3 linked regions of the Schizosaccharomyces pombe genome follow. The gene in region 3 interacts genetically with the main gene of each other region. Each region holds a gene or a part of one and is shown on either strand. Other genes may lie near its edges. The genes, in order: pof8, exo2 and rrp6.

Evidence for each region.
Region 1: of rrp6 (region 3) and pof8, a mutation in one rescues a mutant of the other (synthetic rescue), as found in Schizosaccharomyces pombe (2 studies listed by BioGRID).
Region 2: mutations in rrp6 (region 3) and exo2 are lethal when combined (synthetic lethality), as found in Schizosaccharomyces pombe (one study listed by BioGRID).

What each region holds. Positions count from the first base shown.
Region 1 is NC_003424.3:3,622,059-3,625,814, forward strand, and holds pof8 (LARP7 family RNA-binding protein Pof8/Lar7), read left to right. Parts: upstream 1-1,664; 5' UTR 1,665-1,810; coding exon 1,811-3,019; 3' UTR 3,020-3,313; downstream 3,314-3,756. Other genes in the region: cleavage and polyadenylation specificity factor complex endoribonuclease subunit Ysh1, read right to left, coding at 1-2, 47-947, 989-1,117, 1,251-1,348, 1,398-1,484, 1,539-1,586; protein Rqc1, read left to right, coding at 3,516-3,756. UniProt on the Schizosaccharomyces pombe protein: RNA-binding protein required for assembly of the holoenzyme telomerase ribonucleoprotein (RNP) complex. Specifically binds telomerase RNA ter1 and promotes assembly of ter1 with catalytic subunit trt1.
Region 2 is NC_003424.3:1,776,472-1,780,227, forward strand, and holds the start of exo2 (exonuclease II Exo2), read left to right. Parts: upstream 1-2,018; 5' UTR 2,019-2,077; coding exon 2,078-2,092; exon of another isoform or gene 2,093-2,130; coding exon 2,131-2,198; exon of another isoform or gene 2,199-2,238; intron 2,239-2,248; coding exon 2,249-3,756. Other genes in the region: fol2 (GTP cyclohydrolase), read left to right, coding at 29-137, 191-486, 598-900. UniProt on the Schizosaccharomyces pombe protein: Multifunctional protein that exhibits several independent functions at different levels of the cellular processes. 5'-3' exonuclease component of the nonsense-mediated mRNA decay (NMD) which is a highly conserved mRNA degradation pathway, an RNA surveillance system whose role is to identify and rid cells of mRNA with premature termination codons and thus prevents accumulation of potentially harmful truncated proteins.
Region 3 is NC_003424.3:609,235-612,990, reverse strand, and holds the start of rrp6 (exosome 3'-5' exoribonuclease subunit Rrp6), read right to left. Parts: upstream 2,144-3,756; 5' UTR 2,106-2,143; coding exon 1,839-2,105; exon of another isoform or gene 1,781-1,838; coding exon 1-1,780. Other genes in the region: spo20 (sec14 cytosolic factor family, phospholipid-intermembrane transfer protein Spo20/Sec14), read right to left, coding at 2,832-3,107, 3,171-3,293, 3,490-3,756.

The sequences.
Region 1 (3,756 bases), 3.0 Mb from region 3:
ATCTATAATTAGTTAATTTTAACGTTACATTAGTAACTAAACATACAATGTGATCGGCATTTACCAGGTCAATGAATTCACTGTTTTGAAGATAATCAACATGAGCCGCAAAAGAAAGTTCCTCCACTGCCATTCTTCTAGGAATCTTTTGGCCTGAAAGTGACACAATTTCAATAGGCTCATTTGTAATTTGCTTTGCCATTGTCCCTTCAACAGAATAACCAGTAAGAAGTAACGTATTTCGAGGGTCAGGAGCCCATCTTTCTAAGAGGGTTCTTGAAACACCATTTTGTAGCATACCAGGACTTGCCAATATTACAGAAGGGCCAATATCATCGAATTTTTCTAAATTTCTTAGACTTTTGACAAAACGAAAGATGAACGGATTTCGTTCGGCAAAAATTTTTCGAATATTATCATTCATCATGTTAACATAAGTTTGAAAAATGGCCATACACTTTCTCGCTAGCGATGATGCATAATAGATAGGGACTGAGCGAAGATCGAGATGATTATTCCAATATTCATCGAGAATGAGTAATAACTCCTGAGCTCTTCCAAGAGCAAAGACAGGCATCAAAACTCTCCCTCCATTGCGAATAGTGGAATGAATAATATTTAACAGTCTAGCCTCCTTCTCCAGTCTTGGTTGGTGAGATGCTGTACCATACGTGGATTCTGTGATCAGCACATCTGGTCTTTTAGGAGGAACCTCAGCGACATGCAAATGGCGATCTTCTTCTCGTGAGTAGTCGCCTGTAAATAAAATATTGACTCCAGCCATTTCCACAAAATACATACAGGCACCCAAAACATGGCCCGCATGATAGGGTGTAAACTTTATACCCTCAACTTCTATAGTTGAATGGTAGTCAACAGCCTCGATTCTATCAAAAGCGGCTAACAAATCTTTCTCATCGTAAAGCTGATCTTCCATGCCTACATTACTGCGAGTTGTTAATGAATACTCAGAGCTAAGAATACATACCTCACTTTCACGTAGTCAGATAAAAGCCACTTGCAAACTGCCTTTGTAGGATGAGTCATGAAGACACGACCTCTAAAGTTCGTCTTTTGCATAACATAGGGAAGCGAGGCTACATGATCCAAATGGAAGCTTGCTTAAGTTAGAAATACTTTTCAAAAAAAAATGAATCAATGCCTAAGGGACCATAATAGTAATTGGTACAAGAAGTACTCTAATCTAATAACCTATGGTCGTCTCAAGTAGTGGTACAAAAGGGACTTACTGGCTAATTAAAAGTACATCTACAGTGCTCAAATCAAACTCATCAAAAAAAGGAAGAGCTGAAAGCCCAGTATACGCAGGGTGAACACCGGCATCGAGCTAGCAAAAATTAGCATTCACAATCATAACAAAATAAAAATTAAAATACCATTACTGTTTTCCCTTTGTATTGAATAACATGGCAACTGCGACCAACTTCATTTCCGGCTCCCAAGTTAATAAACTCCAGTAAATCCTGACATTGGTTAGAAAGTAGGCCCTTATAAAAAATCGTAAATTCAAGGCTTACGGATGGGTCTACAGGTGCATCTTCATCAAATTCCTTTCTTTTGGACATCTTTCCAAGGGCTTTTGTCTAAAAACCACAATTGGAAAGACAAGGTCGTGGGTGCTGGGCAAGCGCGAGTTATTCTTCACCTACGCATTCAACATAAATTGGGAGAAAGCAGAACAAAAATTTACAACCCTTTTTTTTTTAATTAAGAGCACCTAATTCTATTTATTATTAATGACTTCACTTTAATTGATACTAGAAAACCGTACTTTAAGGAGCGAAGTAAAATGTTTGTGCCAAGGCAACTGAATGTTCGCAAAATTAAAGCATTTACAGGGAAGGAAAATAATTCTATTGCAGATGGAAATAACAACAAATTGAAAGATGAGCATTACAAACATAATGAAGCCAGCAAAGAACCAAGTCATTCCATAAGCGGAGGACTCATGTTAAATCAACAAGATAGACAGCTTATTGAACCGTTAAATCCTGACTTTTTATCAGCCGTTGATTCTATATTAGAAATTTATTTTCACCGAGAAAGGCAAAAAGAAAAAGTGCACTTGGCCTTTTTAATCCAGCAAGATGATTTCTGGAAAGGAATCCGCCCGAATCCAACGCAAAATAACTTGAAGTATGCTTTATCTTATGTTACTAATGCGCTGTTTCATTTCGATAATTCCTCACACATGGTTATTAGAAATGAGAATATTGTTCTTCCTCTTGACATACCACTGTATGATAGAATTATTTACGTTGAACCAGTTCCGGCTACTCTGTCTAATAAAAGTTTACTTTTGGCTGGGAAACTTCGCAAATACCTCAAAGAGTTCCTTCCCTATGTTGATGCTATCGGTACTCCTGAAGGTTATGCTTTTGTAATTTTGTACAAAAAGGTTGATCAATCAGCACTTAGCAAGTTGCCTGTCCCTCCTGGATGGGTACTGTTGACTCGTAAAGAATGGACAAATCGTGAAGAAAAATATTTTGAAAATCAACTCCATTTAGTAAAAGCGTCATCTTCAGACGTTTCAAATTCATCCAATTCCTTTCCTGAAAATCGTTATCCCAAACTTACTAAAGTAGAAAAACAAATGACCAAGTCTGTATCCAAAACCTCACAAACTGATAAAGATGAAGATAATTTGGATTTTACCAAGAATCTTTTGACCCGTATCAAGAACCTCCATCCTTTAACTAATAAATCTACTATTCACAGCCTCTTGAGTTATGTTTTTTCGCGGCAAACTCAGAATATTGCATGTGAGCCCATGTATATAGACTATAGGAAGGACGAAACAGAGGCGATAATACGTTGGAAAACACCGCTTCATGCTGAGACGTGTATCAACGCGTTTCGTACACAAGAAAGGAAACAAAACAGTCATGATGATATTCGGGCACATAGGAAAAAGGGATCTAGCCGTCCATTCCTGATTGCTGAGCTAATTACCGGAGAAGAAGAAAAGAATTATTGGCGTATGTTAAAAAAGTAATATGTTTTCCTTTCTCTGGTAATACTAATTTGATTTATTTACTACTTTATAATATATTCTGGTAATATAGGCATACAAAAAGGTAACACGGTCGTTATTCTCACTTTAATACTAAATTTGCATTAACAGTTTTTTGTATTAATAACCCCTCTAATTTTCATTTGGCTGATAACCTATTGCGATCAGCAAAAATTCCAATAAACCATGAACCACAAATATGTAAAAACGGTTTACCACCCCACAATTGCAAAATTCTATTACTTAGATTTTAATTACATATTCTGTACATCATTGTTGCTCCCGGCTTGTATTTTCCTTAACGCCTTTTAACTACGAAACGTAATATTCTTCACTGCTAACAGTCTTAAAATGAAATATTTTCTGTATGTTATATATTAATTTAGCATACCGAAAAGTTCTTGAAATTGAGGTGTGTTTTCATAGGTCTGAGTTAAATTCTTACATCTGCCATTCTAGTCTACCACAAACCATTCTCATGTCTTCACGAGCTTTACGGAAACTTCAGCGTCAAAGACAAACCGAGCTATTGGAAGAAGCTTTAGACAGTGAATCTGATGAGGATGACGAGTTTTCTTCAACTTCCGGGAAAAAAGTAGTAAACGTGTTCGAAATTCTCGAAAAAGAAAATAATGCTATTAACTCAGAGGCAGAAAAAAGTGTTTCTGAGGAAGAGCAGGATGAACCATTAGTAGAAGGCGAGTCTCCAATTGTCTCTA
Region 2 (3,756 bases), 1.2 Mb from region 3:
AATTTCATTTATTAAAAATTTATTTCTCATGGAGCCTGGAAAAAAGGATTATATAGATTCTCCTTTGAGGATGCAACCAGCCTCACTTTCTGGCGCATCTACACCAACTATTGATTTAGACGGGCTTTCTTGGCCTTGTAAGTAATGAAAGCATATTTTATACTCATTTAAGTATTCTAATACCAATTAGGTCAAGGAACACAACGTAGAATAGATACTGCTGAGGAAGAAAAAGTAAAAAAAATTTCCAATGCTATTTCAACAATTTTGGAATGTTTGGGAGAAGATCCTGAGAGACAAGGCCTTTTGGGAACACCTGAGAGGTATGCCAAGGCAATGCTTTACTTTACCAAAGGATACGAGCAAAATTTGACCGAAGTGATCAATGAGGCAGTATTTCAAGAAGATCACGAAGAAATGGTCATTGTTAGAGATATTGATGTATTCAGTTTGTGCGAGCATCATTTGGTTCCTTTTATTGGAAAAGTAGGTTTCATTTAGAAGTGGATTTTATCCATTGCATTCACGTGATTGGGCTATGCAATTATGTTTAACCCTCTTTCACAAACTCAGCGTATTAAACTAACATTATTGTAGATTCATATTGGTTATATTCCTCGTAAGCGTGTATTGGGACTTTCAAAGCTCGCACGTATAGCCAATATGTTTTCGCGTCGCCTACAGGTGCAGGAGCGTCTTACCAAACAAGTTGCCCAAGCTATTCAAGCTGTCTTAAAACCTCAGGGAGTTGCAGTCGTTATGGAAGCTACTCATATGTGCATGGTTATGCGCGGTGTTGAAAAACCGGGTAGCAGTACTGTTACTAGTAGTCTTACTGGTATATTTCAGAGAAGCCATAAAACTAGGGAGGAGTTTTTTAGATTGATTGGAAAATTTTAATTTTGGTTTTATTTTGTTCGTTAATCGCTAGAGGTGATACCGTCCGTAAATTCCTATTACAACTAAATGGTATTATATTTTTATTTTTTTTTGCATTCCAGTTTTTGAGTTGTTAAAACAATCACTTTTTTAAATATATCAATCCTTGCATATGTTTATTTATGCATACGATTTAGCAACCAAAGATTTTAAAAGCAGTCGAAAGTTCTCTCTCTATTACTCTTTAAAAATATGAATGCCCTTCTTCAGTTGTTTTTCACGAATTTTTTTTTTTTTTTTTTTGATATCTTAGTATTATGAGAAGAAATTCGAACACATGGTCGTTTTTCATATGGCTTATTTTATTTTCTTGAAAATTGACCGGAGCTATTTCACTCCACCTTACTATTATTAGCCTCAACGTGCTAAGGAAGACGTTATCCTAATGGAAAACTACTATTTAAGTTTTCTTTTTGAACGTTGTTTCGAATCACTTTTTTGGTTACATGGTAAATTAGTCCATGTTATTATATACATATATGAAGTTTCAACAATTTTATTAATTATTTACTAAGTTTTGCTGTGTAAGACTTTCAATTTGCAAGAGCTCAATTAATAGTTTATCATCAAATATATTATGAATGAATAATCTTTGTACCGTAATCGATAAGTATTGCAAGCAACTTACAGTGATTGTATTGATATACCCTAGACACATTATTATAAAGGTAAATGTCTCGTTAATTATAAAATTTGCCAATGTTTTTTAATCATCTACTACTGCTGCAGTTTCAATTAGTCGAAACGTATTTCTTGATAAATGTGTTTGATTTGTTTTTCAAACAACTAAACTCCTTCCTTCGCCTCAATGTTTAAGAACTTGCTCTATTTTAGACTCAGCTAGTCTCAAAGACTAACTATTTTGCCATTTGTATTTTTGTTGAAAAAAATGATAATATGATAATATCTTTACTCACAATGATATCGTTAAAAAGGCTTCTGTTAGTATGATATTAAATCAAAGAGGATCTACACATTTTCAATATTTCATGTACTATATAACTAACTCCTTAAACTTCACTAACCTGGGGCCTATCGATACGTGCAAGCACCGCATATGTTGACATTTGTTCTCTACTAACAACAATACTTTCTAAATTTATTCCTATTTAACTGTTAATGAGAAAGTTCGTTCAGTATGGGAATTCCAAAGGTTGTTATCGATATTTTGTATAAGTTTTTAACAATTAGTTTTTTCGATGGATGAGCGAAAGGTATCCGCTGTGCAGTCAGCTGATTGAAAACGATCGCATTCCCGAGTATGTCAATTTAAATCATCGTTTGAAACGTATGGAGCTAATTGAAATAGATTTGATAATCTTTATCTAGATATGAATGGTATTCTTCATAACTGTACGCATAAGAATGATGATCATTCCTCACCACCACTTCCAGAAGAGGAAATGTATATAGCCATTTTTAATTATATTGAGCATTTATTTGAAAAAATTAAACCCAAAAAGCTTCTATATATGGCAGTAGATGGATGTGCCCCACGTGCGAAAATGAATCAACAGCGCAGTCGCCGATTCAGAACTGCTAAAGATGCCCACGATGCGCGTTTAAAAGCAGAACGTAATGGGGAGGATTTTCCCGAGGAGCAATTTGACAGTAACTGTATAACGCCAGGTACAACTTTTATGGAGAGGGTTTCACGACAGTTATACTATTTTATTCACAAAAAAGTTACGAACGATTCCCAGTGGCAGAACATTGAGGTTATTTTCTCTGGCCACGATTGCCCCGGTGAGGGTGAGCATAAAATTATGGAATATATTCGAACCCAAAAGGCTCAACCTAGCTATAATCCTAACACTCGCCATTGCCTTTATGGTTTGGATGCTGATTTAATTATGCTAGGTCTTTTATCTCATGATCCACATTTTTGTCTATTACGTGAGGAGGTTACTTTTGGTCCGGCAAGTAGAAACCGTTCTAAGGAATTGGCTCACCAAAAATTTTATTTATTGCATTTAAGTTTATTAAGAGAATATCTTGAATTTGAATTTCAAGAATGCCGATCTACATTCACTTTTAAGTATGATCTCGAAAAAATCCTTGACGACTTTATTCTTTTAGCTTTTTTTGTCGGAAATGACTTCCTTCCCCATTTGCCTGGGCTTCATATTAATGAGGGTGCGTTAGCTTTGATGTTTAGTATATACAAAAAAGTTATGCCTTCTGCTGGGGGATATATTAATGAAAAGGGAGTAATCAATATGGCTAGATTGGAACTTATACTCCTCGAACTTGAGAATTTTGAGAAAGAGATATTTAAAGCTGAAGTTTCTGAGACAAAAAACAATGGGAACTCTGACAAACCATCTTTTGACTTTCTCAAATATATTACTGAATCAACAAATGATATTAAAGCCATGACAGGGGAGCAGAAAAATTATTTCTTACAGATTAAAAAGTTTTTGTCTTCTCGTGAGCCGTTCATTGATTTTAGTGCAAACATTTCTTCTGTTGATCAGCGCTTTCTACGACGTTTATGTAATGATCTTCATCTGTCATTTTCCAAAATTATAAAGGTAGACGGCACTCATCTATTAAGGATTACATTTAGAGATCTTGAATTTAATGATGAAGACGAAGATGAAATTGAGCAGGACGAAATCGAACGTGTACTTCAAAAGTATGATAACATTCCTTTGCTTAACGAAGAACAAGCTTTAAAAGAAAAAAACGTCGAAAAAGATTTTATCCAATGGAAGGATGATTATTATCGAAGCAAGGTTGGTTTTAGTTATTATGATGAAGAAGCTTTAAAAGCAATGGCTGAACGTTATGTTGAAGGTTTACAATGGGTACTTT
Region 3 (3,756 bases):
CTTCCGAAGGTTCAATATCTTCATTTCGCTCCTCTATGGGGTTTGAGGGTTCTTTATGATTAAGCTTAGAAGAATCCCTTTTTTGCTTGTTCAGCCCTAAATCCCTAATGACTATAGGCTCTTGTTTCTTCTCTCCATTCAGACTCGGGTTTGCAGCTTCAGTTACAGTGGACTGCTTTACATTCAATTCGGATTCAACATGCCCTTGAGTACAAGGAAGAGTTAATGAAAAAGGAATATTCTGGTTCACTATAAAGAGTCTCTCTTTACGAGCTTTCCGTAAATCATCTTGCGACTGTCCCTCAATCCAAAACGCAGATCCATTTGCCAGCAAAGTCTTTAGTTTACTTCTATTTTGTTTAGAAATCTCGAAAACACTGGAGTCAACTTTGTAATCACCCAAAGTATTCGATTCGGAAAAAACTGCTAGCGGTTGATTTTGCTTCTCAACTTCTTTAAATTGGGATTTCTCACGATCTACTTGCTCATTATACAACTTTTCGGCTTCTTGAACGACTTTAACGATATCTTCAACATACATGCGAGCAATTGGTGTCAATTGCTTAGAAATTGAAAACACATCAGCCGCTTCAACCGGTTTACTGGCGGCAATCGCAATAAGTAAACGATTTGGCAACACATAGCGAACACTTTCATCTTCTTTTCGGGCTACGGAATCTCTCCAATCGTGCAGTGCTCGATAAATCATCAAAGCTTCCCGTCCAATTATTTTAGAAGAGCCAAACTTAGTAAGTACATTTCTCCAGCCATCAGTACCAAGTCCATAAATAGGATCATAAGGCTCAAGTTCATACTTTCTAAGAGATATTTGTTTACTGGAATTGAACACTGATTGCATAAGATTTTCTTTTCTTTCAGCTGATTTTGATATGAGTTCATTTCGTAAATGATCCCAAATATATAACAAATAATGCGTATCAGATTGAGCATATTTTAACATTTCCCGAGGCAAAGGACGGATTCTCCAATCAGCCATTTGGTATCTTTTATCTGCATCATAATCACAATACTTTTGTAACAGAAAAGCCAGACCATGACCCTCAAATCCTAAAACTTTAGTAGCATAGTATGTATCAAATAAGTTTACAACGTAAAGCCCGAAATCTCTTTGCAGCCAAATGATATCCATAGTTGCACCATGAAAAACTTTAATGATATTTGGATTAGTAAAAACAACATTCAAAGCTTCAAGCTCTTCGCGGAGTTCCAAGGTGTCAACAATCCAATCTTTTTCTCTATTACTAATTTGCATTAGACAGACGAACCCTCTAAATGATCTGTAATCATGGTGTTCAAGATCAACGGCTATTTCTTTGCTGTTTTGTAATTCTTTTAGCATATCCGATAACTGACTTTCAGTACTAACCCAGATAGGTTCTGTTTCGTCGACAGAGCCAGTATCGATGGGATTAGACATTTCTGAAACCCATGGAGGATATACGCTATTTTGTATTTCTGGTTCATATGGATGTGGTAACGAGTTTTTGAGACTAGGGTCCAATTTGACTTGAGCGATAATCTTTTCGAGCGGTACTAACGAATGTGGTTTTTCAGTTAACTTCCAAGACCACACAAACTCCCTGGAATTATTAGGCTGTACTCGAAACCTTAATTGAGGCTTAGTAAGATGAGCTGCGTGAATAACCTTGTAGGGCAACTTTTCTTTCTTTGGTTTTTTATTGGCAACATCGCTTGTCGACGCATGGGTTTCGATCGCTGGCTTTTTTAAAAGTCCTTGAGCTTTATCGATAGAATAGTCCTATATTCATACGTCTTAGTTAAATAAAATCCGTTTACAATTTCAAAAATTCACTTACAGCTTTTTCAAAGAGTATGTCTAATGTGTCCGATACTTCTGCCCATCTATTATCTATATCTTCAACGTCCACAATATCCTCCGCCCGACTTCTGTCTACTTTAGAAAGAAGCAATTCAATTAATCTCATAAAACGAGAAGAAACACTTTTTATGTTTTCATTGAATTCGGTATCAATTGATTTATAAAACGGTATATCAACCTTTGCCAATTCAGAGCAATAGGCTGTACTATTCATTAAACCCTTAAACAATTCTGACTCATCCATTATGCTATTGTTTACCCTACTGGATCAGTAAGGTTTTTGGTTTGGTTCAGGAATTTTCAAGCACTTTTACCACACGCTCAACGAATTACCGAACTTGAATATAGACATCGTTAAAGTACGAAATACAAGAGCTATTTTTATATATATAAAATATTTTACACAAATGCAAAATCTTAGCAGAATTATGTAAAAGCAATTATTTATGATTAGTTCAAAATTGTGAAACTATTAGCAGGCAACTATAGAGAGGTCTTTTATAATATAGGCATTCAATTTTGATCAAAAAGTAAAAAAATAATCAAAGTAGATGAATTACAAATTTAAAAACTTCGGATAATCTAGAATGGATGAAACAATCAAATCAGTTGGATCATCGAGCGTCCTTTTTTGGAAAATTAATGAACGATATATGTATTGAGACCTTCTATAAGGATTAAGAATTGTAACAGCAACCATCCCATGATGTTGATGATGGATCAACACATGACTTTCGAAATAAAATATTTATATATGCTTCGATCTATATACGATAATTTCGTCGAATAGTAAACCGTAAGTAGAAGGAAGTACCTGAGATGCTGAGTAAAAATAGAACGAAGACCTTTAAGAACTAAAACGCAGAACAAAGTTGAAAGATCGGCAAAAACTCTACACACTATTACTCTTATCAAAGGACAAACCACATTCATCTATTCTAGCAATTAAATCCCGTTCGGAGAAAGAAGTCTAATTTTTGTTCATCCACTGTTCTTCATGCCATGGACCGGCGTCAGATAGTTCGCAGCCACCTGGACATTGGCAGTTTCCACCGAGTTTAGCAGGAAGATTATCAGCAGGGATTTGTTCGAGCAGAGCACTCTTATAGTTTGAGCCTAAAATATGAATTTTTTTGACAGTTGCCTCATCCAAAAAACCTTTGATAAGATTAAAGGCAGAAGAGAATCCCCAAGGAGCGTTAATTACATAAAACTTGCCCATCCTTTCGGGGTAATAATCTTGACTCTTTAACGTGTTAATACTTGAAAAAAAAAAAAAAGAACAAAAATTTCAACATTTTCAACTTACAATGCTTGATGCTTGACGAATGTAGCTGTAAACCGAGTGAATACTAGTAATACCAACACCCTTTAGATCCATGATTGTGCACGAAGTTTCAATCAAGCCTCCTGCTTTACGAGAACAAGCGGGCTGAAGACGGTTAATAAAGATGAAAAGAAATATCAAAATGAAAAAATATATCACAAAAAATTCAACACAGTAGAAAACCAAAAGTTTTTCTATTAAAAAGCCGAAAAACCAGCCTTATATGGAATATGCAAATCCAAAGGAAAGGTTTGATTATGAGAATTACTGGAGATACATTTAATCATTTGAATTTACTTACAAACCGTTTTAAAGCAAGCATTTCATATTCATAAACCAAATTTTGCATCATACGCTCGGGAGTCGTGATTTGGTACAACTTCTTCAAATCAATGTTACCGAGTTGCTCAACGTATACCGGACGGCCGTCGATGTCAGTTTTATGATAAAATTGAGGGTAATATTTGGAAACGGCTTCTTTCTCATCATAATGAAAGTTTTTGATAAGATCATCAACACCAAATTCTTTTCTCCACTTTTCGCATTTAATAAACATTTCCAGCGACTG